Tamandua tetradactyla: one gene and its partners. The protein of the gene in region 4 purifies or fractionates together with the protein of the main gene of each other region. This does not show direct contact. Links are inferred from orthologs where the notes say so. Each region holds a gene or a part of one and is shown on either strand. Other genes may lie near its edges. The genes, in order: SIKE1, SLMAP, CTTNBP2NL and STK26.

Region 1 (8,063 bases), on a different chromosome or scaffold from region 4:
ACAAATAATTCAGAGATTCATATTTCAGTGAAATTATAGGTTGTCAAACATCACAGACCATCATAATCACCTGGGAATGCTCAAAGATCATGAATGCTAAACCTTAAAATTCCAAGAATCTACTATAATGTAGCTCTTCATTTGATAAAATGAGACCTACTACAGTGTTGAATGTATGTTTCTGTACTGCAGAAACACATCAAATCAGACAGGATCAAGGCAGAAGTGACAAGTCTTTTGGGTTCTTAAAACTCAATGCCTATGCATTTAGGTGGGCCCCTGTTATGAAGTGAACCATTTACAGCCTTAATCCAGGTTGTATTGAAGACTCAGGAACCTTTGGGGTCAGCTTGGTACTTCACTTTGCCTCTTAAATCAATCTGTACACTATACCACACTGGGATTCATAATCTACTTAGCTCCATGTTTCTGCTGACAACTCCATAATTAAATATCAAATGTTACATTTACAAGTAATATCTCTAATTTATGTTTCCTAATCAATTTGGTGGTATCTCTTTCCATGCTTTTTACAGCCCCAGGAAAGGAGGAAGAGAATATCTGGGAAGTATCCAGGACTGAAAGGAAGTGGAAAGAAAGTGTTTGTCCTTTTTGTCTGTGTGGATTGGGAGAAAAGGCAAATGAAAAATCTTCTCACAATTGAAAGATTGTGAGAAGACACAAGCGCATATAGGTCTGACCCCCTTCTCTGACTTAAAGTCCTAGATTGAAGTCCAAAGTAGAATTGTGTTTTGTCACGCTTCCCATTTGGGGCTGTAGGAAGTACAGATGTATTATTTTTTATTTTTTTCTAGTAAAATTTGTATTATTGTATTATATATTATTTATCATTTCTTTTTTCTTGTAAAATTTGAACTCCTCAGTGCTGCTTTCTCTTATAATGCTGAATAATGAAATTCCAGATTTCTAGACTTCTAAATGCAGGTCTTCTTTATTAAAAAATACTTGTTTTGGTGGTGTGAAGCTGTATGTACCCCAGAAAAACATGTGCTTTGATCTAATCTATTCCTATGGAGGCAAACGCATTGTAAGTAGGACCTTTTGATGTGATTACTTCAGTTAAGGTGTAACCCAGCCCAATCAGGATAGGTCATGACCCTATTACTAGAGTCCTTTATATGCAGAATGAAATTCAGACAGAAATAGAAATCTACAGGGCAGTAGAAGAACTGAAGTTCAGTGGAACTCGGAAGAACTGTTAAATAATTAGACCATACTGAGTTTATCAGACTCAACCAAAAGCTGGGTTTTTCCCCATAGCTCCTAGTAGGATGGGAATGGGGGCTTGCCAGAAAATACAGATTACTTATAGAAAACAAATAAGCTAGAATGTCTTTGCATATCTTGTTTAGTAAAAGTAAATCTGCACATGTCTACTTACATATCAAAATTTGGTAGCATACTCATGAAAAATTTGGGGCACACCAGATAAGTACCAACAGATTGAATGAAGAAATGTTTAAAAAATAAACAAATAACCAATTCATTAAAAGACAGGCACAGCTACTGCACTTATTCTACCATTGTTAATCGGAGTTTGGGGTTGGACTGAACTGCTCCTTCCACTCTTTCCAAGAAGTAGCTTCAAGGTCCTGCAACTAGCCCAGTAGGAGGTAATTTTGGTTTCATAAGTAGGACCACCCATTGTGCTACAGATGGAATACCCAAAATGCCTGCTATTGGATTCTCTCCTATTAATTTGAATGAGACTAAATTATTTGTTTAAGAAATCCATCATAGGTTTTGTTTGTTTTTAACCTCTATGCATGTAGGAGAAGAGAGTAGAACCTCTTTTGGTTTCACTTTTTAAATGGCCAAAGGGCAAGAAAGAGATAATAGAGAGAAATGGAACCAAAAAATAGGGGCCATGTGGGATATCAGATCATAGTAGAAATAAGCCAGAAAAATCAAAGATCTTGGGTAATTTGTGTGGTTTCCACAAACAATATTAAAAGTATCTGGGCTTGTAAACCTCAATCAATAAACAAGCAGGGGTGAACCTACTATAGTTAATATAAAGAGTTTGAAGTTTGCAACAGAAGTTGCAATTACTATTCTTCAAATTGATGATCTTATTAAATTATACCTAGAAAGTAAAGATGATAAACATAGAAGTTAAGAAAATGTTGTTCATTCAGGAGCCCTTGATGACTGATGTGATTTCTTTTATTCATAACAATGTTAGGTGTAATTGTCTTATATACACATTAAAATACAACAAGCAGTCAAAAAAATAAAGTACCCAAGCTTAACTTATTGGTTTATTGGTGGGTGGGCTGTGGAAGACTGAAAATGGCTCAAAGGTTAAAACTTTCAACTTCATGCTGCCACATCTTGAAGCTTATTCATATTTGTACCTATTCTTTTCCCCTCCAATTATGGAGAATGAAATGTCCCTCATTCTGTTCAAATCCAGCTGCTTCACCTGTATTCCTGATCTGGAATCCCATTGTTTTATTCAATATTCAGCAAGTGTTTAACTACCCTGTCCCATCTCCTCCTGGTCCTTGCTCCTTCCATTGTCTCCCTACTCTCTTGTATCACTTTCCCTAATGGCTCCTTCCCCTACAAAGCCTAAAAACATGCTCAAGACTTTCTCGTAAAAACAAAAACAGGAATAAAAATGCACCCTATTGCTGCATTCTTTTTTACCCACTAATTGAATCATGGTTCAGACTACCAATCACAAGGGTCCAGTTTGGTGAGGGAAGGAAAATTAGACCATTAGAAGAGGCTGATAGGTAGGATGATGGTTAATTTCATGTGTCAACTTGGCTAAGTTATGGTGTCCAGTTGTTTGGTCAAGTAAACACTGGCCTGATTGTTACTTTAAGGGATTTTGAAGATGGATTTAGATTATTGGTTAGTTGATTGCGTCAATAGCTGATTACATCCACAATCAACAAAGGAGATTCTCTTCAGTAATGAGATAAGTCTCTTCATCCAATAAGTTGGAGGCCTTAAAGTAAGAACTGAGGATTTCAGAAGTCAGAAAGAAGAATTTCTATCTCTGCTTCAGCTACCCCGTTTCTCCTGGGGAATTCAACTTCATAGTCACCAAGTTTCCAACTTGCAGCCTGCCCTTCAGAATTCAGACTTCTCAATTTCCATGGTCACATGAGCAGTTCCTCAATTTTCTTAATATTTTATATCTATATATCCTGTCAGGTGTATTTCTCTGTAGAACTCTGATTAATGCAGGTAGAGTGAATATGGATAGATTCAGAAACTGAAGAGCTGGATGAAGTAAATGAAATGGTAGTGGGAGATAAGGTTGCAAGAACTGGACAGACAGAAAAGCTATAGTCAAAGAGTTAATCATTAAACCCTAAAATTTCTACACAGGACAATTCTTGGAAAATGATCCAGAATGTGGCCACATTAAGCCAAAATAAACATCTCTACAAATCAGAAGATCAAGAAAAGACACAGCATTAGATGAGTTGTCCACATGGACATGGATGTCACTCACATGAGAGCAAAATATGGCATAATTAAAAAGACCATAAGCCAACTCCTAAAATCTTCTAGGAATAAAGAAGAATACCCAAGATAGAAGGTCAGTAATTAACAACAGAGAGGAGCGACAGAAGATTCTTCATCTGTGGGATATAAACATCAAATAAAGAGATTTTACACAACATGAGAGAATAAGTGCTTAGAAGTATCATTCAGGAAGTAAAACTACCAGTCTAGTTGTCAACCCTAAAGTGGATAGGACATAGAATAATTATCCTCCACTGTAAGAAGTAGCAGAGGTTGTGGTGTCGGTTAGGGAGAGCTATCAGAGTAGATGACCTGAGGTTGGGAAAAGACCAGATGGAAGACCATCCTTAGACCTGGGTGAGAAAAGATGATGGCCTGAACCACCCAGGAGTAATGAGAATGCAAAGAAGCAAATATGTCCTAAAGATACAAAGGAGATACACTGCCTTTGAAACAGATTAAATATGAAGAGTAAGTAAGTGGGAAGAATGAAGGATAACGTCCAGGATTCTGTTTTTGGGGAAATGATGCATGAATGTGCTCTACTGAAATGATGGCCAAGCAAATTTGGAGGCAAAGATAATCAGATCACTTCTAGTACATGCTGAATTTGTGATGCCTGTAGGTTGTCCCTGTGGAATAATCCAGTTCATGAAAGAGATTTGTGCTACAGAGATGGATTTGAGAACCATTTGAAGTCAAAGCCAAACGCATGAAAAGAGATCAGTTAGGGAACGTCTTTTTGTTTTAATGAATGAACGAAATCTCTGCATTTTGTTGTTTTAATGAATGAATGAAATCTCTGCAGAGTGCATTAATTGTCTTCCTGTTGGTCAGTGACCCTGATTTGTTATTTCTGTTGAGCTTGTTCCCCATGTTCCCTTCAACAAACAATGTGGCAGCTGCTGTGAACACAAAGACCAAAAGCCCAGTTCCTTTCCCCCTGCTTCTCTGACCTCTAGCACTCTGACACTCCTTCATCAGACTCCTTCATCATCCTGTCACTGCCTTAAAATATTCATTAGAGTATAAATTCTTTCTCTCATTAGAAAATAATCTCCCTAAGGGCAGAGACCTTGTGTCTTATTCCCTGCTGCATTTCCAGGACAAAACAGTGTCTGGACCAGAAAAGGCTCTCCAAAAATAGTTATTAATGAATGAAAAAGAACAAAGACATACAAGCTTGACAAGGAAAACTCTTATTAACCAATGTAACAATACAAAAGTCATTGTTGTTTTGGCTAAATTTACTTTCAACTTATTAACTGAATTGAAACAGAATATACATATATATGGAGAAAAACCGGAGCCGCTCAGCCACAATTCAATCAGGCCACCGAGCTGAGAGAACAGGAAATCAAGGGCGTGGCTCCGCTCAGGGCGGAGTTTCCGAGAAGCCGCAGGCTGAAACCGGTCCGGGCGCGGACAACGCCAGTGCGCAGACGCCTGCGAAACGTGCCCGGAAGTGACGCCTCAAGGCAGAAAGTGCTTCCGGCAACAACTGAGCGAATCGCGTTGGTGAGCAGGGCCTGATACGCGGGTCGTGCAGCCGCTATGAGCTGCACGATCGAGAAGATCCTGACAGATGCCAAAACGCTGCTGGAGAGGCTGCGGGAGCACGATGCGGCCGCCGAATCGCTGGTGGATCAGTCGGCGGCGCTGCACCGGCGGGTGGCAGCTATGCGGGAGGCTGGGACAGCGCTTCCGGACCAGGTCAGGCAGAGGATGGGAGTCATGTCCTCGGGTTCTGGACACTTGAGGGTGGAGGGCTAGGAAAAGTGGGAACCCGGCGTGGAATTTGTTCCCCTTCTCAGGAGGGTGGGAGAAAGACTTCTCTGGAGTCGGGGCTGAGAATACTCTCCCGGTCCTCTGACGCCTGCCTCTTCCTTCAGTCGCATCTGCCCCTGTTTTCGGCGCACTTAGTCTGTCTGTCTCTGTCCAGTGTCAAGAGGATGCATCCGATATGAAGGACGTGTCCAAATACAAACCACACGTTCTGCTGTCCCAAGAGAACACACAGATTAGAGACTTGCAACAGGAAAACAGAGGTTAGTCGGACCTTTTTGTGTAGTTATGACTTTTTCATATCCAGCAACGGTTCAAAAGTTTTTGCAGAACTGTCTTAACTGTTCACAAAAGTGCATATCCTATATGTATTTCCAGGTCGATACCTTTAATAGAAGAGTTACCCCGTGTGCAGGCCCAGTAACAATAAAGTTTGTTAGATTAAATTTTTCGAGGTCATCTGACTGATTTTGTATGTACACACAGCTCAGCAAAGAGATGCCTAATAGAATTGAAATATTGCATGATTTTTTTAGACACCCCGGACGGAGGCTTGCCTGACGAAAGAGTTACCATCAAGGACTTAAAATTTAAGATTTAAATATCAATTGAATATACATTAATATTAAAATTGAAATTTTTTATCTTGTGCAAAGTGGAAGAAAAAATTTTATCTTCACTTATGTATTTTTGGACTTAATGAGTACATTATTAACGATAGTAATATTAATAGTGTGTCTATCAGTTTACAGAGTGCTTTAACCTATATCATATTGTGTTCTTATGTCTTCATTTTGAGGTTGGCAAGCCAGGTGTTTATTATTAGAAGATTGCACATAATAAATAGGCTCAGATCTTAAATGGTTTGCCTGAGATTATTAAACTAATTAGTCATGGAACTGAACTCAAACCTATGTCTTTTGATTCCACATCCTGTATTTCTTCTATTAAATGATGCTGTCTGCCTAGGAAGTTATTTTTCACATAGACCTTAGCTGTTCAGTTTTGTGGACTTAATCATTGATTTACAGCTTTGGATTCACATTATTTTACAGATTGTCATAAAATTATGGAAAATTCCACCTGTTAACAGATTGGCTTTGGGAACTATCACTGGGTCTTCACTGCCAAATTATTTTACTTTTTGATAGAGCTATGGGTTTCCTTGGAGGAACACCAAGATGCCTTGGAACTCATCATGAGCAAGTACCGGAAACAGATGTTACAGTTAATGGTTGCTAAGAAAGCAGTGGATGCTGAACCAGTCCTCAAAGCTCACCAGTCCCACTCTGCAGTAAGAAACTTTGATGAGTAAATTCTAAATGAACTGAACTGAAATCTAGAAATTGTTTTAAATTTGGGGCTTGTTTTAGAAGAAAATGTAGTCTTGTTTTCCACTAATGTTCATCACATCCACTGTTTATTTTGCTATGGCCTTGAAAAGATGAATGAAAAGAAGGGGATAAAGGGGCAAGGCAACTTAGATCCTTTATTTGAGTGGGGTGAAGGTTCCCCTACCCCAAGATCTCCTATCAAGGTGTTAATGAATGCTTAGCTCTTCCACCACAGTGCCATTTAGCATTGAGGGTGCTCAGTAAACACTTGGTTGAATATCTCTCCAAACTGTAAGCTCCTTGATTGTAAGGAATATGAATTATGAATTCATCTTTTACCTCTAGCATAATACCTTGCACACAACAGGCAGTCATAAACCTTTTTTAAACTGAACTACATAGCATCATACAAGGTTGTTACAAGGCAGTAGTGTTGTCTTAAAAAAATATATGTAACATAGTTTCTAGACTTAGAATACTTATGATTTAATTAGAGAGACTCAGTAATTGTTCTTATATTTGTAGAGTGTTTTATAATTATCATAGTATATTCACATATACTAGATTATTTAATCTTGGCTTAATAGATTGGAGCTCCACTGTTTGTTACAGTGCAATTTAGTAAAAGTTAAGTTTCATCTTAGATTCCACTGAAAACATTTTACTGACTTTTAAAAGTCTCAGGAAATGGGAATAGCCTATTTAAATATATGAATGTCTTCCATATGGAAAAGGAAAATAAATTGTCTCTGATCTGGAGGAGAAAACTAGGACCAATTCATTGAGACTTGAATGAGACAGAGTTTAGCTGATATAGAAAAGCTATCTAAGAAAGATGTCCAAAGATGGAAAATGGCACCCTGGAATGTGGTAAGTTTCCCATCAATAAGTGTTCAAATTTAGATTAAACAGCTTTTTCTAACATCCAAAGGGTGGTGAGACTAGAATTGATCTTTTGAAAACAAAAATTGTTTTTGAACATCGTAAGGCTACTTCATTATGGCTTTATCTCCAAGGACTCAGATTATAGTGAAATAGCAATATAACTCCTATAGCATAGATTAAATGAACTTTTAAAAATCATAATGCACCCTTGCCCATCATGATCTTCATATCTATAGAAAAGGTTATTTTTTCACCTATTTTTTTTCTTAATATCTTCACAGGAAATTGAGAGTCAGATTGACAGAATCTGTGAAATGGGAGAAGTGATGAGGAAAGCTGTTCAGGTAGATGATGACCAGTTTTGTAAGATTCAGGAAAAACTAGCCCAATTAGAGGTAAGATTGTTGCTCCTTTAGCTTCACAATATTTCAGGGAGTTTTCATGGAGTCTGGAAGGTATGTCAGCACTATCATGTCACTGCAATGTATTGCTGTTTTTTGTGTACTCAGGATTTAAAATTAAAACTTCTCTTAAGAAAGGAAATCAGTCAGC
Region 2 (7,643 bases), on a different chromosome or scaffold from region 4:
TTAATTAAAAATTTGTGTGGATGTAAAATCACAGAGTAACACCCACATAGCTTAGAATTCAAAATATCTTACGTATGCAATTTATTAATTTCAGACTTTTCTGAGCCAGCCTACCAGTGGGTGAGGAATGCCTTCACTGCCATTTTTAAATTTCTAGTACCCTGTATATCTTGGTAGGAGTCTTTATTCTGCTAGGTTATAAGAGTTACAGAATTTCTTGCAGAAGAAAGTCTATCCTATTTGCTTAGCATTAACTTTAAGAGATATTGCATACAGAAATGTAAATAAACAGACACTTTTTTTTCACATTTATGATCATGTTTCTTCATGTACATGTTAGGGATAATACAACTTGCTCCTTACTGTATGTGGAAAATTGAGGGGAATTTTTACTAATAGCAATAATAATAAAAACTAACATTCACTGAGTATCTGCTATTTTCCAGGCATCATTCATTATCATCTTTAATCCTAAAACTCTGATGTTAATTACTTTTTTTTCATATACTGTATGGTGGGGTCACATTTCATTATTTTTCCATGTGAGTATCCTGTTATTGCAGTACCATTTGTTGAGTTTTGTTTGTTTGTTTGTTCTGCTTGTTTGTATTTTGGTAAGTGCATGGACTGGGAATCGAACCGGGGTCTCCCACATGGCAGGGGAGAATTCTACCACTGAACTACCCCTGCACCCCAAAAACTACTCTTACACCCTCTCTGATGTTATTTCATTTTTTCCAGATGGGGAAACTGAGAGGTAAATAATTTATCAAAGATAATATTGCTGGCTAATGGTCATGACATGCATAACTGATTCTGAAACCTTGACTTTCCTTACTCCACTTTGACCTTGCAGGAGAAAGAGGGAAATGTTCTAAACTCTGTTGCATTACCTACAATGGTCTTCAGTGCCTGAATCCACACTATGGTCCTCCCCAACTTTGCCCTTTATGCTCCAGTAACACAGACCTACTGTAATTTCCTTGAACTCCTGATTTCTCAACTCTCTGGGCCTTTATTGATAATGTTTTTGTTTTGACCTAAATTTTCTTCATTGTGCTACTACCAGTTTCAGTTTAAACAGTTATTCCTCCTTCTTTCTTTTTTTTTTTTTGTGGCATAGGCAGGCACCGGGAATTGAACTCGGGTCTCCGGCATGGTAGGGGAGAACTCTGCCTGCTGAGCCACCATGGCCCGCCCACTCCCATTAATCTGATGTACTCCATTACAGCGAGGATCTTATCGTGTCATCACCTAATTTATGAGCAGCTAGAGAAAAAGGTTTCTTTTTTCCTTCCCTTCATTGTTGTATCCTGGGGGCCTTCCAAAGTTATCTGCCTCAAACTAGGCATAATTTAATTAAATATTTATATAATGAATGAATGAAAGGATGCATAAAAGACAGACATAAATTCATGCACAGAGCTCAAGATTTTCTGGAGAGTTCTATCATGTTATTCCATATAAGCCTAAAGATTATCAGGGAATGAAAACTTTCCAACATATCCCTATTATCTACAGAATAAAGTATCTGGGATATACTAAAATTTCAATACATATTTGCTGAAGTGATGAAGATCTTTAGAAAATTACACAAAGTCTTTATAACCTAACGCCTATTTTTCTCTTGGGACTCACTTTGTGCCACTCCTACTCTGTCTTCTAATATTGAGTAAAAAGTATATAATTTTCATTCATGCATCAAATATTTATTGAGCCAGTACATTGGCATACTGTTTTCAAATAGCTTTGTTCCTCCTCTTGTTGTTACCTTTTCCTGGAAATCTATGAATCCAATCAGCAAATACCATATTAATTGTGGTTTTTCCACCTTCCTTCCTTCAGTTCAATTATCTACTCCAGAAGGCCTTCCCTGACCCCAGGGGCACTCAGTGAGTTACCTGAGTAACGTCATTAAAATGAAGTTACCTGTACCTGTGTTTGTCAACCCTCCCCATCTTACTTTACAATACCGGGTGTGCTCTCTGAGGACAGGGATCTCCAGTTTTGTTGACCTGTGTGTCTCCATGGCTCAACTCATGGGGTCAAAACCCTCTAAAAATATTCAAATGAATAATAGTTATTCTTTATCTTGAATTCTCACAAAAGTATGTGAGTTAAGTATTAATATATCTATGTTATAAAAAACAAGGCTTGAAGAGCTTTAGAAACTTGCCCATGGTCACACTTTGGTGGAGCTTGTTATCACAGGAATCTGAAGAATGAAGTCACCTTAGAATCTAAGCGAACTAAGACTTTTTCCTACCATCACAAAGTTGTCGTTTAGATTTTGCAAAGTCATTCTTTCTTTAGATCAATGCCTCCTCATCTACCTTAATATTGTTAGTGAGCAATATCCTCTTTTATCATATTGCTAATTATTCGAATAGTTATTCTCGGAAAGCAACGTGATTTTAAACTTTCTCAAGTCTCACTCCTCTGGAGGGAGAATCCGCATTAAAGCCGGAAGGGTTTTTACAGGTCCAGCGCCGAGAATAAGAATTCGAAACAGAATGTGGGGAATAAGGAAGAGTTTTTCTCAGAGCAAGGAACATAGCGAAGACTTTGGCAGGGGAGGGCGGCCCTTATGATGTTAGATGCACAAATCCTGAAACTTGTGGGAGCCTGGCGGTGGGGTCGGTGTTGCCCACAGCTAAAATGGTTGCTCGTGAACAGCCATTTAGGATGGGCCTGTTCTCTTTGTTCGTTGGTATTTTCAGTGAGAGCTATAGCAAATGATATTTAGTAAAATTTCGTGTCTTCTTATTAAGAAACTAAAGTAGACCGTTGATACTTTTTTTGAAAAACCTTCAACCCGCAAATTCTTCCTTGCCCTTAACAAAAATGGTTCGTCAAAGCTGTCCCGTAGTTTGAAGCTTCCTGCCCTAAATTAAGATGGCCTCTAAGTCGCGTTAAAAATTAGCCTGCCCTCTTCTTTGCCTTCTACCAATATGGCCGCATTGGCGTCGATCATGTGACATTCCCGGTGTACGGCGCGAGAGAGGGGGTAGGAGGGCCCTTGAAGGGTGCGCGCTCCCGCGACGGTGCACCCGGTAGGTTTCAGTCAGAGTCACTATGGCGGCCGGTGCTGGCAAGGTAAGCTGAGACGGCCTTGGCGGCGGGGGAGGCAGGACCGGTCGAGACATCTGGGCTACAGTCCCCCGGAGCCTGTCCGCGAAGAGGCCGGCCGAGGTCGTGACTGGTCTCGGGGACTGCGGGGGGCGGGCTCAGAAAGCCTAGGGCTGAGGCGGGCGGGCACCGGCGCCTGACGGCCGTTTGTTTTGATGTTTCCCCCACCAGGTCGGAAAGTTTCCTGCTTCTTCGGGCACATCCTGAGCGTGCCCCACTGGCCGCGAGTAGTGGAGGCTGCGGTGGACCCAGCCTGGGGCCTCCAGGCCTCTCCCCCAACCCCACGGCCAGCCTCCCTCCCCCACCTCCTCGCCCGCCCGAAGCTGCGGCTGCCGTCCCTGCGATGCGACCCTCGCGGAGGCGACCCTGAAGGGAGGCGGCCCGTGCGCTGAGCGGCGGCCAGGAGTCCAGGCGTCTAGGGACCAACTTCCCGCCGGCCGGGACCCCCGAACGTTCCTGGGGTCGCTGGGTTGCGCCTCGCTGGGTCCGCACCAGCCTGCGGAGCCAGATCCCCGCCCTAGTCGCTGGGACGCCCACCACCAGGTGCCGGGGAGCCCGGGCCCGACCGCTTCCCGCGCCCCCGCTCCTCGCAGCAAGGACCTCAGCCACCGCCCCGGCTCGTGCCCGGCTGGGGACCCCGCACTCCCTCCTGGGGCGACCTCCGCTGAGCAGGGGCAATGCACACTGTTCCGCTGGCCTCTTAGATCCCTCGCCACCTCCCGGCTTCTCAGCCCTCGTCCTCTCGGCCCTCGTGCACGGACAGTGGCAATCCAGAGGTGCTCAACTACACCTTCCTTGGGCCCGGAGGGACCTTCCTGGCCACACCGAACCGACCCTTCCTTCATGCTGCAGTGCTGCAACATTTCCGCCACTGAGGGGGTAAAACGGCCGCGATCCCAAACAAAACACAAGAATTGGTGTGTGACTCATCTGCTTGGATACCTTCAGTCCCCAAACTGTCTTCCAGGAGTTTTCTTGGCCGAAACTGACCCATGTTTGAGCCTTTTCTTCCCGGGGAAGAAGATGGACTAAAAGCTGCTAGTTGGGGACTTTTTGTGATAAGGGCGGTGATGGGGCTGGTGCTGGCTTGTCTTCCATCCAAGTGAAGAGTTGTTGTCACTGGTTATGCTTAGACAATACGCAGTTTGTTTTAATTTAAAATTTTGGGGGGGATAGGAGTATAGGCTTGTGAAGGGTAGTCCGGATTCGGAGGAACTCCTCTTCGTGTCTAATAGGAGAGACACCTCCAGTCTGTCCTCGATGCCGTCAGCCTTGGCCATCTTCACTTGCCGCCCGAACTCGCATCCGTTTCAGGAGCGTCATGTCTACCTGGACGAGCCCATCAAAATCGGCCGCTCTGTGGCCCGCTGTCGACCTGCGCAGAATAATGCCACCTTTGATTGCAAAGTGCTGTCAAGGAACCATGCTCTCGTCTGGTTTGATCACAAGACGGGCAAGGTAATGTCACCACGTTGTCTAACTATCTTTACTTTTTGTTTCCTTTTGCCCTCTGTGAGAGATGTAATGTGTGCAACAAGGCTATGGAATCTACTACTCTGTTCTAATGGAAATTTAATTGAATGGAGAACAGAGAAAGTATTGTAATTAAATGTCTTGGGAGGGTGATGGCACTTGATAAGATGGTCATTCCTAGTGAAATCTCAACCCTCATTCGTTTAGGAAAACTAGATAGTGAAACTTGGCCTCTCCCTTTCAGTCTTTTCTGAAAGGTGAATTTGCAGTTCCCAGAACAATGTGGGGAATTTGTAGCCAGTATTACCCTGGGGCTCAAGTGTCTCACTGGTGAGATGTGTAGTTTACATGTAGCTGTTAGTTGATTTCTGATCAGGGCCTTTCAGGTAAGGACAACTGCTTGTGGAAACTTAAATTTTTGAAAGGTTTGATACATGTTTACCCATGGAAGGGTAATTTGTAATATTCAGAACCGGTTTAGTTAAGCATGAACAAGTATTACTTGACATTTTCAGTTTTGTTTATGCATTAGGTGAACATGTGCCTATTGCTTTTTTTATTACCGATTGTTTTTTGAAAATCATATCTCGATGTTCCCTATAGCACTTGTTCCTCAATTAAATGTATCTAATGCATACTCACAGAGGTGCTGTTTAAAAATCAGAGTTAGGAAATGAACTTTATTTTCTGAAATTGTGTTCAATTCTATGAATTATTACATTGTCTAATGTGATAGGATGAATCCAGTGCTCTTCATTTTAAGAGTAACCATTTTAGCATTTTTAGGTTAGTACCCTAAGTTACTAAACTTACAGGTGTTTATATTTTAACAATCCAAGAAAAAAATCAAGCTAGCCTCTCAATTTTTAAAACTTTATGTGTGTGGTCAGTATACTCAAGAGCTCATCTTTGTGCTTAAACCTCAGGTTTTAGATGAGCTACTGAGTCAGTTCCAACTTAAACTAAGTTATGTAAGATTAATAGGAATGTCTCACCTTCTGACTTTTTGCCCCCTCTCTCTGAGTTAAATGATTGCCTTTTTTAAAAGAAGACTGATTTAAAAGAAATCTTTAAGAGTAGTGTTTTTAAATTAAAGAAACCTGAGTGTTAAAGGAAAAGAAAAGCATAAATCCTCTGCATTTATTAACTTATGAAGTTATATAAATTAATTTTTTTGAGAAAGGAGGAAAAGATTGCCTAAGTGCTGTGTGCTTGCACAATACTTGTACCTTACTCTGTATGTAGGATGATGTCTGAGAAGTATGTTAATTTTTCTGTATAACACCAGAAAATACCTGTGGAACAGATCCTTTTTTCTCCCTAGAGGCTAAGGTTTGGGTGTCTCAGAGACTTCATAGACTGATTACCCATAATTCTTTAAAATATATATTCATAGAACCTATTTTTCCGGCATTCTAATTAAAACATCAGTTAATTACCAGTGCCTTAATTCAACTAGTTTCTACTTTTTTGTGTCCCTGGGCAACAGTTAAGGTCCAGCCTAATCAAATAACTGGTTTGCCCAAGTGCATACTCTGCAAATGCACCTTCTTTACTTTGATTCTGAGGAGACTCAGAATTTTTCTTTTACTTGAGAAATAATTATTACATGAACAGTGCTTTCCATAGCTATGCTAAAACCCTCACAATAACTTATTTTGAAATGACTAAGAATGTATGAATAGTGTTTAGTATGAATTGAGATGACATTAACATTTTGAATAGAATTTGTTATTAGAATAATTTATCTTTATAGGATACCCTTGGTTTAGTTCTACCATTTTCACTTTTGTCCCCCCAGCTTTTTATTTATATTTTTATTTTTTGGGGGGAAGGGTGCATGGGCTTGGAAGGGTCTCCTGCATGGCAGGGGAGAATTATACCACTGAACTACCCATGCACCTGACTCCCTTTTTTTTTGCATGCTGTATGGTGGGGATCACATTTCATTCTTTTTCTGTGTGAGTATCCTGTTATTGCAGCACTGTTTGTTGAATCTGTGTTTGTTTGTTTGTGTGTTTGTTTTAGGGAAGTGCATAGGCTGGAAATAGAACCTGCGTCTCCTGCATAGCAGGCAAGAATTCTACCACTGACCTACCCTGTACCCGGGCCCCCTCCTTTTTAAACCAGATTCTACCTAACATATAGGGTCATTACTTTAGGTGTAGCTATCATTATTGATTCTTGTACCACCCAATCTAATTAGAACAAATGACCATTCAGATCTTGCCATGTAATCGGATTGTTTTAAGATTAAGTATTTAAATCTAGGTTTGGTCAGACAGCAGGTTTTTATTGAGCATCTAGTATGTGTCAGGTACTAGGAAGCACACTGTTCCAAAGCAAACCCATAGTTTGACCATATATTTATTGTTTTCTCTGTGTGAAATCCAGTTTGGGGATTTCTGCCATAATTGTCTTGTAACAAAAGATTATGATAACTAAGTCCCCAGTCTAATATAATTTCCCCACAAATTCCTTTGTGTAATAGAATAATCTTCCTTCTATAAGCGTCTCTTTAGGCATTTTTTTTTTTAAAATTCCAATCCACAGTTCTCTCATCTGGGAATAATAATAGTACCTACTGTTGTTTTGAGGATTGAGATAATCAAGCAAATCATTTAGCACTCGGTACCTGGCCCTTGTTAAGGGCTCAGTACTTAAGGTGAAGGGTGTTGGTAGAGAGAAGTAACCATCTAGGCAGCTCTTTGCAATTTGCCGTAGTGCTGTGGACTCTTAGGAAGGTAATGAGAAATTTTTTTTTCGTATGATGACTTATGTAGAAGTAATTTTCTTAATTGAAAGCAAATGAAGTGAGGACTTTGCCCAAGTTGGCATTTTATGTAGGAAGTGGAAAATCGGAGTAATATGTCTTTGTTTGACTTTTACTTGGTAGGTGACTTACATTCTGTGTTGGCCATTGTGGGAGGCCATTAAAGCTGGAAGAAATAATAAATACTTGAATCTTTCTGATTATTCAAGTGCTACATGTTTATTTTAGAAAATGTGTAAACTATAGAGGAGTACTTGGAAATGTTAGT
Region 3 (7,541 bases), on a different chromosome or scaffold from region 4:
TACCACTATGAGGTGACCTTGGGCCAGACACTCAGCCTCTCTGAACTCGCTTACTCATCTAAAACCTAGAAGCAATAATAATTACCTCACAGGATGGTTGCAAGGATTAAATTAGATAATATATGTAAAGCACTAAGCAGTCACTCAATGTTAGACTTTTTTTCCCTCTCTCTCCTAGATCTCTCCCTTACAGGCTAGGGCAAAGTTTTCTCAGCTCCACATGGCCAAGCTGGCCCAGAATTTTAGCTAAAAAAACCCAAAATAGTCTGTCCCTGAAGGTGGCTGTTTGAACTGCGATCCCTTGTAGACCCCTACCTGCTATGCTCTCAGCCCACACTCCAAAAAGGGAGAAAATGTGCAGTCTGGGATGTCTCCCTAGAGGGCCAAGGAGATGGCCAAAAGGAGAGCTAACAGCTGCAGGACTCATAACTCAGCACTAGGGGGAGCTATAAACTCAGACACACATTTGGGGCCACACCCATAAATCTCCAAACTCACCCCTGTGCCCAAGTCTTCCAGGACCGGTGTATCCAAGCAAGAAGACAATGTTCAAGGACTATTCAGAAAAGACTCCGTAGGGACAAATGATGGGAGAAAATGCAGGGAGCAGTGGAGAGCGCACCATCTCTCCAGTTCAACCTGGTCCTGGGATAAAGAGTCCTTTCTGGTTTCTACACTCTCACCTCAGTGTGGGTGCTGGGTGGTTCCTTGAGAAAGAAAAATAGGGAAGTCAGGCCAGGTCCCTTTTCTCATTGCTCCCACCTCTACATCTAACTCATTTAGCTTAGAAAGTGCCACTGGGTCACAGAAGGAACCTTATAGAGTTGGCTGAAGGGACGTTGGCTAAAGGGAAGATAAAGTGCTTGAGCTAGGTCTCCTAAGCAAATTACAGTAATCCCTCATACAATTTACCAAATCCTTTCATATACATCATCCCACTTGTATATTCACAACCACCTAGTGTTGCAGACAGAGGCTATAATCCCATTTTACAAATAAGGAAACCAAGATTCAGTTAAACACCCAAAGCTCTCCTCTTCCTTCATAAAACTTCGATGTCACCTGCTATCACCTCCTCTCTTGCTTTCCCTTGTTTTAAAATCAGTCCAAACTATACTCAGAACTCCAGGAAGACTGCTACTCAACTGCAAATATTCCATCGATCACATTTTAATGATATCTGTTGCATTCCCTTTCTTCTTAACCCATTACACATGACAGAGAGACCACAGGACATGGAAATGAAGAGGTTGTACTTCGGAGTCAGAGTTGAGTAAAAAGCTATGTCCAGCACTTATTAATACCATGATTACAGATCTCTTTGTGCCTCAATTTCCTCACTGTAAAATAGGAATATTAACATCTATCTCATGGAATTATTTAAGAATTAAAGGATATAATATGTAGAACAAATTCCTTAATGCCTGGCATATAATAAAGCTTGATAAATGATATCTAGTATATACAATTATCATATACTCAAAACACTGAGATGATCTTTAGAAATTAGTCCGTTATTTTCACGCTATTTATCAGTGAGATTACATGGAGTTAAGTGCAGAGGTTACTTTGCCAAGTAGGACTGTGATAGTGTGAGAACTAGAACTCACGACTTTTTTTACTTCCAGTCTAGCCCTCTTTTACCCCATCGTTGCCTCCCCAAATCAGCAAATTCATACAACACCAACTCTGGAAGTTTACCTATTTGGAGGAAAGCTGACACAATCTACAATCTTGTAGCACTTCTTTACTGAATTGTTACCTGACAGACAATAGATGGTAGTAAGCAGGTGCTAAGTTAATAAAATAACAGATATTTAAATATTGTATTGTACAGATTTAAGACATTATTAACCCAGTTCACCTTGCCACCAAGTATACCTTTGCCCCAGACTCTTAATTTATTTACAAGTTGTATATCTTGAAGACTCATCAAACTCCAGAACTATCTCCTAGTGCTGCCGAAGGCAAGGGTCACAAGCCTTCTTGTTCACTACCTCCAGGGGTGATGAATTAAAAGGAAAGCAATCTAACACTCTCAGGACTCTGAATCCTACAGGCCAGGGCCGATCTCATTCTTGCTGGGTCCTCCCACACTTAGGAATGAGCTAGAGAGAGCCCAGTCAATTGCTGTAAGGCAAGTAGTAGGCCATAGGGCACTGCTCCCACCCCGTCGGCCTGGGAATGGAATGGGTGGGGGAGTTAAAGCTACATAAGGAAGGAGGGGAGGTGGGAGGGGCTGATTCACTAGGACAACTCTTCGAGTGACTCAGAAGCTAGCAGAAAATAGCCTTTCTTCCACATCTGCCTCATGGTCAAGCAATGAGGCACTTCCTCATTGCATACTCATGGGCAGAGCAAAAGGGAGGAGGAGGAAATAGGACTTTTCAAATTTGTGGACCTATTCCAGCACCTAAAGTTGTGTTTTTCACCATTTCAAGTCATCAGTGTTTATTGAGCACTTACTATGTGCCTGGCTTATCTTGCCTGTCAGTCTCCTGAACACATCTTTCTGAAGTTCTGTATCCCCTCACCATTTCAAGTCATCAGTGTTTATTGAGCACTTACTATGTGCCTGGCTTATCTTGCCTGTCAGTCTCCTGAACACATCTTTCTGAAGTTCTGTATCCCCTATGCCAAAAGCACGCAGGCTGCGGTTAAGCACCTCATTCCATAGTCTTGCTGTTCTTCATATATAGAGATGACTCTCCCAAAGCTACAATCAATAGGGGGAAACATGAAGCTGTTTTTCTGGCTCCAACGGTGGCTTTATAGGCATCCATGCCCATTTTCTGGGTAAAGCCTCCTCCTGAGAGCCAATGGGCAGTGAACAGAATGTGGTATAGGTGTTAAGAGTCAAACATCCTTGGTTTGAAGTTTTTTTTTTACCATTTATTAGCTCTGTCGCCTTACTTAATTTCTCTGAATCTCTGTTTTCTCGTCTGTGAAATGGGCACAAAGGGATGGTGCAACAGTGGCTTAGTGGCAGAGTTCTCGCCTGCCATGCTGGAGACCCCAGTTCGATTCCAGGTGCCTGCCCATGCAAAAAAAAAAAAGGAAAGAAAAATGGACACAAAGATGGCTATCTGCCTTACAGGGTCGGATAGATTTAATATATTAGTGAAGATTAAATAAGATAACGTTATGTGAAAGAACCTGGCATAGTGATGACTGAAAGTCCCGGTCTTGAGATGTTGATTCTCTGTGGTGGCACCTTCCGTCCTGGCCTTTTCCTCTGGCTTAGCTCTCACAGTGACATGCTAAATACTGGTTTACTTCCCTCCAACCTCCAAGTGATTGCAGACTGATCACATCCCTCCACCAACCTGTAAACTGTTTAAGTGAGGAGATGCATCTGCTTGCATAATTATAATTATTAAGATCAGAAATAATGTATCAAGGCATTTTTTCAATATAACTATCTAATTGTATTATTTGTTATATCGTATTTAAGATAATGTAGTGGGTGTTATGGTTTTAATCAGCTGAATCAATCTGTGAAATGGAGTGCAGTCTATGAAAAAGGATCCCAGAAACTTTGACCTCAGGTGCAACTAGGTCTACATCATCCTATCCCCCTCCGTCTGGGTTACTTGGTTCTGCTTGGAGTTTGCTGCCACCGCCAAGGTCTGTGTTCCTCGTGCTCAAGAGGGGCGGATCTTCCTTGTATCCTCTACATCGTCCTTTGCTCCAGCTTCATTGCAAACGCCAGTGCCCCCACAGTATAATGGGGGCTGCGACGCCAGAGGATCCCGCAGGAATGTCCCCTCACGTGACAAGGCTAGTGTGGAAAAGCTTGACACACAAGTAAGCAATCATTCGTCTACTGCCTGCCGTCCACCATCCACCCCCACCCTGCCCGTGGTGTATAAAGAAGCCCGCAAGGCAGGTCGGTTGGGCTATGCCCTTCCTGATGCCATCCTGGGTCCCGCCCTAGGGTCTCGAGAGCAGGCATTCTCTTCTGCAAGTATTGCAGTCTCCTGGTATCTCATCTTCTCCGCCTTGCTGCTAGCACCACACCCACCCACAGGCGCGTTCAAGAAAAACCAGAGGGAGAAGGGAAGCCACGTAACCAGGTTTTCAACAACGAATTCTATAACACACCCAAGCTCACCTCTTTTTCTTTTTTTAACATTTTGGATAAAATCAAAATCCAAACACAAGAAGCTCGGCATTCCTAAGCTTCCCGTACCGTCACCGCAAAGTGTGAGGCGCTCGCCCCGGTCCCGCCCGATAACCTGACTAAAGGTGGAAAGTTGCACACTCCAGGCGGGGAGGGACTCGAGCTTCCCTGGCGCCCGGGCCGGAGGAGCGAGCTTCCCACCGGAAGTGACGCGCGCTCAATCCTAGCCGGGCTCTCTCCAAACAAAAGGGATCTTGGGGCCCCGGGAGGAGCCTAAATGACATTTGAGAAGCCCCTCCTCCAAACGGCGCGGATTGGTGGCAGGGTTGGAGAGGCGAGGTGGTGATTGGCCCGGATGAATGCCAATACCCCCGCCTAGTGGTTGAAGGGGAGGAGCCTCGGGGGCTGTGGATGCGGAGCGGGTGGCGGAGGCGGCGGGGAGCCGATCCCAGAGCGCCGGCAAAAGGTAAGAGCAGCTAGGGTCGGGCCTTGGCGATTGCTGGGAGCGCGGGTTCTCGAGAGAAAAGCGAGAGTAGGATCACCGTATCCTCCCGCCGTCGTCTCAACTGCCGCTAGCGCCCATCCCTGGAGGGGGCGGGGCCGTCTCCTTCACCTCCCGGTATTCCCTGAGGAGGCGGCTCCTCATCCTTCGAGGGTCCCCTCAGCTACTTTATTGTCCTCCGTCAATTCCCGTCTCCTCGGAAGGTGCTTCTCTCCTGATACCCTCATTTACAGGCCCCTCTCGCCCAGCGCCTCCGCCTTGTAGGAGGGCTCTCAGGTTCCCATTCTTTGGGCTACCGCCCCCACCCCCCATTTTGTACTCCCGGGAGGCCAGACATCCCCCCTTACACCTGTCCCTGCCCGCTAGGACAGAACCAGAGCTGGTTTCATCCGTAAGATAAAACCAGTATCCCCCCACCCTACCCCACCCCCAAAAAAGAGGGATGGGAGAAGCAAAAATCAAAGACCCAACCTACACGGCCAGCTGTACAAAAGAAGCGCCCCCCCACCCCCACCCCCGCTTCAGCTCTTCCCATCCCCCATCCTCTGGGTGGGGGTGGGGGCAAGGGCTTGAGAGCGCCCCTGCTCCGGGAGCAAAGATGGACTTTTTTTAGACTCCGGAGGAAGGAGAAATAGTACCCCTCCCCCTTTCAGCCTTTGTACCTTCCTCTGTTCACCATTCCGTGAGGGAGAATCCAGCTTCTAAGGGTTTTTAGATCTGAGTTGTGTTGTGTTCACTTTTGCCTTCCACCCTATTTCTTCCCTGAGAACCTGATGAAAAGCCATCCCCTTATATTTCAGTGGGGTGGGTGTGTTGGATATTCTCCGAGTTGGCCTTCTCTGGGTAGGAATTCAGTGTGCATTGAGTGAGAAGTCGGTGGATAACAGCATGTTTTAAAATGAAGCAGTATAGGTAAGTAAATAAATAGCACTGAATTAGATATGAGTCTCTCTCATTCTAGGGTGGGCAGTTCTGTTGCTCAGGGAGACTGCAGTTTAACCTTGAAACAAAAGGCAGGAAGTGATTGAAGAAAATTCAGGTTCAGTTGTCTAGGTTTATGATTAATCTGGTCCTGTGGCTTTTGGTTACTCTCTCAATTACTTTGTTTTGTAATGGATATTTTTTCCCCCAGGGGAAAATAATACATTTATAATGTGCTGACTGGTTTTCCAAGACCAGTATCATCTACCAACATTTAGAGGATGAAAAGTAAAGCAATTTTAAAATCTCAGAGATAAAGGTAAATAAAGACAAGATAAACTCCACCTGTTCACACGTGTAAATACCAGAAAGTGCCTCTGTAGTGTAGCCTTTGTCAAGTTGACCTTCATTTCAGCAGGTGCAAAGTATTGATGATTTTAATGCCATAGAATCCCCAGTAATCATCTGTGCATAGCAGTTCCATATATTAAAAATTACCATGGTGTTTCTTTTGCTTTCATTCTGAAGTTCCCTTCATTACTGTTATCTATTGTCAAACTTAATAGCAATAAACTACAAGGAGTTGGAATCACAGAAGGTGATTGTGATAGCTGTTGTCTTTAACTTCCTGATGGTAATTACTTTGACTAGTTAAGGTTGGAAGGTTTCTGGGCCACTCTCGGTGCTCACAGATCTGTTCGGTGATTGTTCACAGATCTCCAGTACGAAAGCACAAAGAAGAAACTGTAGTCTCCCCAGCAAACACTGAAAGTGTACTGCTATAGGAGGATAAAGCTTGGGTCCCCAGCAATAACTGCAGAAAAATCTAAAAGCAGAACAGGAAATACAAGAAAGATATATCTTATTACATGAGCACAGAACAGAAAATAACTAAGGTAAGAGACTAAGGAAACTAAAGTTTTGGTGCTTGCCAGGGCCATAATAAGCAGAGAAGTAAAAGCAAATAATGCTCCTTGATTATTTGGTACAGTAAGCAAGACCTGTTTGATACACTTTTGGGGCTTGGAAATCTTTCCTCTAACTTTTCCCAACACCTGATTGGTCATGTTAGATATAGACAAGCAGAAACTTTTTAGGTGTGTATAATCTAGATATATCTATTTATGTAAAATCTATTATAAATTCGTTGAGGGGAGATACTTTTTTTTTATCTTTATATCTTTCACAGTGTCTATACTTTTTTTTTTATCTTTATATCTTTCACAGTATCTAGGATATGACTCAATAGATGTTCATTGAACTTTGATGTCGTCACCTTAGGGTAAACTAGAAAGAAAATGCACTGATAAGATACGGCACATCTTATTGGTATAAATAACCCACTTTTTGCCTTGATTTAAATTTATTTTCTCTAACTGATATCTATGATGTTCCCATATATTAAGTGACTCTAAAATATACGAATGATCCATAACAAAATATCTGGTAGTTAGATGATATAATTTTGCTGTCATGAAATTTGAACCAGACTGATGAGTGTCATCAATGCTAGTTATTTCAGGATTTTTGTTTATTTTTTTCTAAGAATTTGACCTAATAGGAATAAAGTGAATTTAGGGAGCACACTAGGAATTGATTGGCTGCTCATTTTTTTATTAAAAATGGTTTCCAAGTGCTTGGTTTTCACAAGTTACTGATCTACTTTGGGATTTTTTAATGGATTTTGAATTGACTTTGTGCTTTACTAAAGTGGTACTAAATATATGAATGGGGCACAGAATAGTATAGGGTCTCTGAATTCAATCGTATAGGTTAATTATGGTTGTCATGACATGCTCAGTCCACAATAGATTTATGTGTTGGTAGAATCAGGTTTGCAGTACTGCCAGTTTGCGGAACAGGATTGGAATTTTTGGCTTTTCTGTGTGGGTTAGAGTGGTGTTTGGTGGCAGGAGACAAGAAGCAGAGATTTATTTCTAGAGGAAATCTGTCTAGTCTGTGGTTGTTGACCCAAGGAATGGCTTTTCAACCTGT
Region 4 (7,896 bases):
ATCCAGGAGCCCATCTAAATCTGTTATTTGGGAATATGTACCTTTGCCTCCATTATCTTCTCATCAAAATACATCAGTCCAGTGTCTTCCACAAGGTACTCAGTATTAGGTGGAAGGAATCTAATAAATTAACTCATACCTAGGTGCTAATGACTGTTAATGATTTATTACTCGTTTCAGAAGTAATTGCATTTAACAATGGACTCATCTTAATGCCGAGTAAATAGGAGGGAATCTGAAAATTTCAGGTCAAGGGTCTTGCCGATTCTACCACAGAGGCAATTTGTAATGCCACCTGCACGTAAGATTGGACCTGACACTCACCACATCTCCATGAATGCGAAAGGTAGTATTATATGTACAACATTTCCTTATTCATTTGAGAATATAGAAATTACTATGTGGAAATATTACAGGACACATGTAAATTTACATTAGTAATTGTTACCTATATCATCAGTTGAGATGGAGCTTAATACTATTAGACTGGAATTGTATGATTAGGAATGAGATACTTATGAAGAATTCTTCAGGGTTCTCAAAGGACCACATTAGAGAGTCAAGCTGTCTCTTTGTTTAGATAATTGTTGCTAAACATTTGTCTAACTGCTAACATAATGCTACAGAGCTACTATGATATTTGAGTTTTCAAGTAATAGGGATGGAGTCATGGTAATTTCTGTAATTTCATGTAATCTCTTATACAGCTCAGTTGGGATCTGCAACTGTGAGATGGCTGTCTGAAGTTAGGGTTACAGGCGATATACATGAAATCAAATGAGGCCAACTTAAACAAATGGGAGTTCAACTACCAACCCTGACCTCAGTAATTGCATGCTCTAAACAACTGAGATAGATCAGCATCAGAATAATACTTAGCAAATTCATTCTCTGGAAATGAAGAATTAAGAAATTGAGTGTGAATCTGAATTTCCTTTAGGAGTACCTAATTTATCAACTACATAGCCAATTAGATCAATATATTTGATTTTTAATATCTACTACTCATTCTGTATACTTCAGTATAAATAAAAGATACCATCTCTGCTTGAATATAGAGATAATAATATGTGAATCATTCTAATGTATTACTAATAGCTGTGAAAACACTTTAAAGCACAATAAAGTACTCTAAAGCACTCTAAAGTAGCAGATCATTATTATTGCTATAATTAGAAGTGTCTCTTCTTAAAAACCAAAATCATATTTAAAATAATCTGATGCATACCTGGGAATGAAAAATACTAAGATAGGGAGTAATAACATGAACATATCCATGTTTTAGAAAGATTGTTCTGGCAGCTATATGGAGAATGGCTTGGCAGGGGATAAGGGGCATGGGGGAGTAAGGTGGGGAAAGAAGAGACACTAGCTATAGAGAGACCAGTTATTAGGATACAATTGCAAACAGCTCAGGCAAGAGAATGATGGGTTCAAGTGACATTATGGAGGTAGAAATCATAAATCTTGACAATCAATCAGAGGGGTGGGCTGCTGAGAGGAGATAGATATGAAGGAGAGGAAGAAATGAACAAAATTTCAAATCTGAGAAGAACTATTAACAGTATATAGTTATGTATACTATACTTTAGACAATATAAAAGTTCAGTTGGCTCTTCTGTGTATAGTGATTGGGCAATCAAATTCCTTCCTTTGCTTTTTTTTTTTGGGGGGGGGGTTGTTCTTTCGGACAGCAGTATCAAGGAGTCATAAAGCTCTCAAGTCTGAGTTCTGCTCCTAGGACTGGGTGTGCCAGGGAGGGCCACTTCCCATGAGGGTTTGTATGATGGTGTTAGGTTCCGGGGACCAGGTTGACCCATGGCAGCCGACAACAGTGTAGCCAAGTGGGCGAACCTGATTATTGGCCAAAGAAGGCTACAAAGGGTTCAAGTTGGAGAAGTAATACCACGTGCCAGGCCCCAGGGTGAGTGAGGCAAGACAGTGAGAGGAAAAATGAGTGAGGAGGTCAGAAATTAGAACAGACTGAGGAAGAATTAGGAAATCGGGTATGAAATGAGCTGGGGTGAATGGTTTGGGACAGAAGCCATAAATTCTGAAAGCGTTAAGGAGGCGTGTTTTCATGTAGTGTGGGCAGGTTGGTACAGGTACCTAATAGCCTAATGGCACTGAACAGGCCCAGACACCGTCTCTAGAACTCATAAGCCAAAGTATCTCTGGCTCGAGAACCTAAGAAATATCCATTCTTATCCATATTGGTGTTTCCATTTCCTAGCATTTGCAGTATCAATATACATTTTCATTAATAAGTTAGACCACATGTTCTTTTATCCCTTAAAATTCATGAGACAGATGATTTCTAATCCAGAAATCTAAACCCAAGGCTATCTATCTTTTCTCATTCTATTGGGTCACTATTTTCAAAGACAAATCCCCTAATTCGTAAACACAGACTGCTTCATTAACTGTGTTTAACAGGTAGCGGAGGCTTAGTTCACTGACAGCTGCCAGGTGGTGACTTGGAATCCAGCCCTTGGTTTTCGAATTTGCTGTAACATCACGAAGAGCATGGAGCACATATTTTACTTCAAGAAAGACATCTAATTTCATTCGGGGTTTTGCTCAGGTTTCCGTAATCTGTTCACGCTGCTCTGGGCTCTCCAAGAGGTTCGTGTTGGCCTTGTGGCTGGCAGAGAGTGAAAAGGGGAGTATGAAAAGTGCAGAAAGAAAATGTAGTAACTCCTTCCTCCCTCCCCCAAGATATAGTGATAGTGTTGTAAAGGGATAAAAAGCTCAAGCAAGAAAACTCTTGCTTGAGGGAAAATCCAAGCTGGAAAAGGCTCAGTAATCACAGCTATCTCCAAGTCTTTCCATCTCAGTTTTGATATTTGTTCTGCTCTGGGGCCTCTCCTCAAGCCTTGTAGCTGGAGCAATGGCTACCACCACCCTACCCCTAATCTCCTGGCTCAGTTATGGACAAATCCCTCTGTTCTCTCAAAACAGGGTTGGCATTTTTCAAGTAGACTTTTACTAAGAAAGAAAGAGAAAACTAAAGCAAGGAAACTCTGATGCCTAGAACTGGGCAGGAATTAAAGATCTGGGATTCTTTTTCCTAAGGCAGTGATTCTTAAAGTGGGGTCCCCATACCAGCAGCATCAGTATTTACCCAGGAACTTGTTAGAAATGCAAGTACTTTGAGCCTGCCCCAGATCTACTGAATTGGAAACTTTAGAAGTCGGGCCAGCCCTCCGTCTTTTAACTTCCCTCCAGGTGATGCTGATATACCCTTTAAGTTTGAGAAACACTATTCTAAGGAACGTGCAGCCTAGCCCTGGATAGCCTTCAGTGGTGCTGTCTGAAGAGCATTCAGCCTTCTCTTTTTTAACTTGCATTAACTATGTTTGCCTCTGGTTGCCTACAGTCTAGCAACTAGTAGATAACTAGTAGACTGGTAGCTAACGCTACCTTCTGCCCAGCAAACACCATGTTCTAGGCTAACATGTGTGCAAAGTATTACTACTAATAATCATTCCAGTAGCTTCCACATTTTTGCCTGTTTCGCACGTGCTCCACATTGTACTAAGCACATTACACTCACTGTGTTAGCTAATCCGAACGACAGCTCTATAAGAGAGGCATTATCATGCCCATCTTCCAAATAAGTAAATGTAAACTTGGAGAAGGTGAGTTGCCCAACGAATGCCAGGAAATAAGGGGCAGAGCCAGGATTCATACCTAGGTTTCTGGTACTCCAAGTCCATACTCACAGCCTGGATTCCATATTGCCTCCACACAGCCACGTGGCTCCTATGTCAGGCACCATGTCCTAGGAGCTTTTTTAACTGCATGTCAACTTCCTATCTTAGCTAGTAGACTCCTCTCCTCATACACTAGTTCTTTCACATAATATCCTGGACTATGCTATTTCACTTCATTGAGCTTCAGTTCCCTTGTCTGTAAAGTGGGAGTAATAATCCTTATTTAAGAGGATGGGTGTGAGGATGTGTGAATATACAGTGATGGAAATTAAATGTATTATTTCCTCCATTTTACAGGTGAGGAAACTGAAACTGGTCACTTGGCTGAGGCAAATTCTGCTGGCTTTTTACCTAAACTTATTTGAGGGTGTGAGAAGATCTCTGCTCCCAAAATATCTCCACTTACAACTAGGAGTAGAGGGCCATATTGAGTAAGTATTAACTTATTCCCTATTAAAATGGCAATGTTCTCAGGCCAAGGTATCAAAATGGGCAGAACACAGATACATTTTGATCAAAGGAGGTGAGAATGGCCCAGAATCAGGGCCTGGGGGAGTACCAGATTCATGCCTAGTTGCAGAGATGGGCTTTCAGCAATGAGAGGAAACAGATTGGAGTGGGGGTGTGAGGAGAAAGCAGAACCTCTGTCATGAAAAGTAGTGATGTTCAAACAAGTGGCCAACTTCACCGATTTACTCATGACCCAATTACCCATGTGACTGTTTAAACCCACATTTAGTCTTATCTCCCTTTTTAAAGAATTCTTAATGTATCTAAGGAAAGATCATATCTTTCCATTTATCCCTTTCCCCTTCCCGTTTCTTGGCTCTCGAGTATTTTTTTGTTTTTTTACATACTTCCTCCCCACAGATAAGGCTAGTTCTCTGTGAACTAGATGTTCACTCCTAGCCTTTCTTTCCTTCTCTGTTTCTTTTCTGTGGCATGCCCAGAACACATACAGTGTTTCAATTAAGGTACAGGTCATCCAGCCAAGGGTGGGTACCGGTGCATTTTGTGTAAACCAGCAGCGTCACACCGACAAGACAGAAGAAGCTCTGAGCAACACTGGATGAATCCATCCTTAGGTCTCGTGAGGACTGATGTGACAGAGAAGCTGCTATGTAAGTTTTCATGGGAGGTGTCCAAGTTTCGGGTTTTATACAGGGATTCTCTTTTAAACTAATTTTCTGTGCATGAAAATGTATTCTCTCCGAAATGTAACTTCTTTAAGAAAGATGTACATGAACTAACTGCAAGTAAATGCTTGACCAGATGATGGATGCTGTAGGGGAATTCCTCTACCTGCTATCTTTGTGGCAATCCATTCTTCCACAAGTCACTCGTAAAAAAAAATTCGTTTCTAAAGAGCACAGCACTTTAAATAGGATTCTGTGTAATTTAGGCTATCATTAAAAGGGATTCAAGTATAGTACAAATTGCAACCATCTTGAATTACCCACAAGGAATTCAAATACCATTCCCCTATTTTTGTCATAATTAAAAAGGAAAAGCCACGCTGGACCAAATTTCTGGTCCAGGCAGCCAAGAATTTTTAGAGGGGGACTCGGAATCATGTTGGCAATGGGAGCGGAGAGGGTGTGGTTGTTCTCCTTAATGACAACCTCAAAAGTTAAGACACTTAGAGCGGGCCACGGTGGCTCGGCAGGCAGAGTTCTCACCTGCCCTGCCGGAGACCTGGGTTTGATTCCAGGTGCCTGCCCATGCAAATTGAAAAAAGAAAAAGTTTAAGACACTTAGCAAGATTCTCTTAGCAGGTTATCTTGGTTTTATCTTTTGCAAATGTAGCCTAAATCTTTCTTGGTGCTCTTTACAGCTTAATTTGTACTGCTGCTTGAAGGTGGTGAGTTCCACAGGTTTTACTGTCCACTATATAAAGTCTCACTTCCTGTTGATTGCCTTGGATTTGACTCTTGAGTTTTAAGGTCTGTGCTGAGTTCTAGCCAGTTAATAGCTTTGGTTGCTATTTACTCTGTCCATACCCTTCAGGATACTTTTAAAATAAGGCTAATAGTGGGGACCTATCTCATAGGGGTTCACAGGTATTACAGGATTTGATACACAAAAAGCACTTGGTCCTGTAACAGACCCAGAGTGCACACTAAATAAGTGGTAAGTAGCAGCAGTAGTAACTCTGGCTGTTGCCTCTATCTTCATCGTATTGTGTTAAAAGAATCTTAACACCTTGAATGTGGCTCAGTCTAGCACCTTCTCATTCACACATTCTCAGGGCCCATCATTACACCACCTTTAGTTCCATTTTGGCTTTGCTGATTTGTGGCTTCCTGAATTAAGTGTTGTATTCCAGATGTGGCTGCACCAGGATTTAATTTTTTTCCCCCAAAATAGAATAATGTGTTATATTGTTTCTAGTCTGTTTTCTAATCATGCACAGCATTTTGTTGGCCTTTCTGGCCAAAAATGGCACAGTGAGGTGAAATTGTTCCAGAAATAACTTACAACTCCTAGCTTCCCTTTTGGGAGCAACAGAGATTATTATCAAACATGTATAGTTTGTATATATTTTTTCTGTGGATGCATTACCTTGCGGAGATGTTCTATTGTTCTTTTCCAGTTTTGAGAGACTTTCTTGCCATTTGTCCTTACGTCAGTTTGGCATTTCACTACTGAGAAGAGCTTAGTAGCTCTTACCACTGTGTAGACCTTCTTTCACACCACTTGTAACAGTTATCTAAGCCTGGGATCATGGAAACCTTAATACTGACACTTCTCCATCCAGAGAAGCACCCACACATTCCTATCCTTCATTTCCTTCTGTGAGTTAGCGCTCCTTCTATGACAAATTGTTTCCCCAAATCTCATAGGGACTCATTAAGCAACAACAACCAAAGTCAACAGCATGGAAGCTTGCCAAAGACTTTTGAAAAAGTCTCTATATATTCCATCCCCTGGTTCTTCCTTGCCCATATGTTATTTACTCTCCTAAAGAGCACTAGACATGCTATTCCCTCACAGAATCCCTGCTGTTTTTCCTCTGAAAGGTCATGTTTAACTGTGACTCTAGATTTATTATTTAGCTATAAAATAAAGCTTCAGAAAATTCCAGATTTTACTTTGTAAGAAATGTTTTCATAGAATCATTAAATGTCAGCGCTGGTAAGAATCTTAGAGATGATCCAATTCTCTTCATTTTACAATGAGGAGACTGAGGCCTAGAGAAGTTTCAGCCAAACTTGTTTTTCATCTGTTAATTTTTCTTTTTTTTTTTTTAAGCAAACTTTGAATAAAATTCTGGATCATGCTGAAATGCTTGGGCATATGTTTTTTTCTGATGTCTCAAACGGAATGTAGTTTTCTTAGTATGGAATACAGAGTAGATTTAACTTATGGAAGCAAAATGTTTTCAAGAACTCATCATTTTTTTTTAAATAGGCAGGTTACCTTTAACTTTATTGCCATAAGCTTTACCTCACAAATTGACTTCTTATTTTATTATTTTTTTGTTATTGTTAAAATCACATTACCAGGCTTATTTGGAGTTTACTGCATGCCAGACACTATTCTAAACAGTTTATGCAGATCCTCATTTAAAGTTCAAAGTTAGGCAATATGAATCTATGATGTCTGAAGATAGGGAAGTGGAAACCTTTGGGCTGGAGAAGGCAGTGATTGAATGAGAGCATCAGATGACTTCTGGCAAGCAGGTAATGTTCTCTTTCTTGATCTGGTGGATGGATACATGAATGTTTTAACTTTGTGAAAAATGAGCTATTCTACACTTATGACTTTGTGCAGCTTTCTGTATGTGTGCCATACTTCAATAAAAGCCTAAAGAAAGGGTAACACATAGTTAGGCCCTTACATCAACTTAAGTTATGTACTTTTAGTATCCCTATTTGACAGGTGATGGAACTGAGGCACAGAGTAGCTAAATCCCTTACTAGAGATCATAGAGCTAGTATGTAGACAAAACTAAGATTTGAACCTAAGTAGTCTAGCTCTGCAGTTCATGCTCTTAACATGAAAACACAATAAACTACCTCTCAGAGTGAATCTTTTTCAGTATCAAGATTAGTTGATTTCTAGTCTTATGATGACTTTGTATTTGGCCCTAACTGCATTTATTTCTGTATTTCCCCTTAATATATATCACCACCTTTTGTTCAATACACATGCACACACACATACACATTTGGAGGAG

Evidence for each region.
Region 1: the proteins of STK26 (region 4) and SIKE1 purify together in Homo sapiens (affinity purification with mass spectrometry; 4 studies listed by BioGRID and IntAct, with this or other methods). This does not show direct contact. The link is inferred for Tamandua tetradactyla from reciprocal best matches to the Homo sapiens genes STK26 and SIKE1.
Region 2: the proteins of STK26 (region 4) and SLMAP purify together in Homo sapiens (affinity purification with mass spectrometry; 5 studies listed by BioGRID and IntAct, with this or other methods). This does not show direct contact. The link is inferred for Tamandua tetradactyla from reciprocal best matches to the Homo sapiens genes STK26 and SLMAP.
Region 3: the proteins of STK26 (region 4) and CTTNBP2NL purify together in Homo sapiens (affinity purification with mass spectrometry; 4 studies listed by BioGRID and IntAct, with this or other methods). This does not show direct contact. The link is inferred for Tamandua tetradactyla from reciprocal best matches to the Homo sapiens genes STK26 and CTTNBP2NL.

What each region holds. Positions count from the first base shown.
Region 1 is NC_135337.1:6,543,553-6,551,615, forward strand, and holds the start of SIKE1 (suppressor of IKBKE 1), read left to right. Parts: upstream 1-4,973; 5' UTR 4,974-5,061; coding exon 5,062-5,220; intron 5,221-5,449; coding exon 5,450-5,555; intron 5,556-6,443; coding exon 6,444-6,586; intron 6,587-7,792; coding exon 7,793-7,906; intron 7,907-8,063.
Region 2 is NC_135341.1:27,188,495-27,196,137, reverse strand, and holds the start of SLMAP (sarcolemmal membrane-associated protein), read left to right. Parts: upstream 1-4,387; 5' UTR 4,388-4,389; coding exon 4,390-4,587; intron 4,588-7,643. UniProt on the Homo sapiens protein: Associates with the striatin-interacting phosphatase and kinase (STRIPAK) core complex, forming the extended (SIKE1:SLMAP)STRIPAK complex.
Region 3 is NC_135337.1:9,694,809-9,702,349, reverse strand, and holds the start of CTTNBP2NL (CTTNBP2 N-terminal-like protein), read left to right. Parts: upstream 1-4,331; 5' UTR 4,332-4,589; intron 4,590-5,064; exon of another isoform or gene 5,065-5,537; intron 5,538-6,261; exon of another isoform or gene 6,262-6,442; intron 6,443-7,541. UniProt on the Homo sapiens protein: Regulates lamellipodial actin dynamics in a CTTN-dependent manner. Associates with core striatin-interacting phosphatase and kinase (STRIPAK) complex to form CTTNBP2NL-STRIPAK complexes.
Region 4 is NC_135353.1:30,555,633-30,563,528, reverse strand, and holds the start of STK26 (serine/threonine-protein kinase 26), read left to right. Parts: upstream 1-4,714; 5' UTR 4,715-4,835; coding exon 4,836-4,837; intron 4,838-7,896. UniProt on the Homo sapiens protein: Serine/threonine-protein kinase that acts as a mediator of cell growth. Modulates apoptosis. In association with STK24 negatively regulates Golgi reorientation in polarized cell migration upon RHO activation.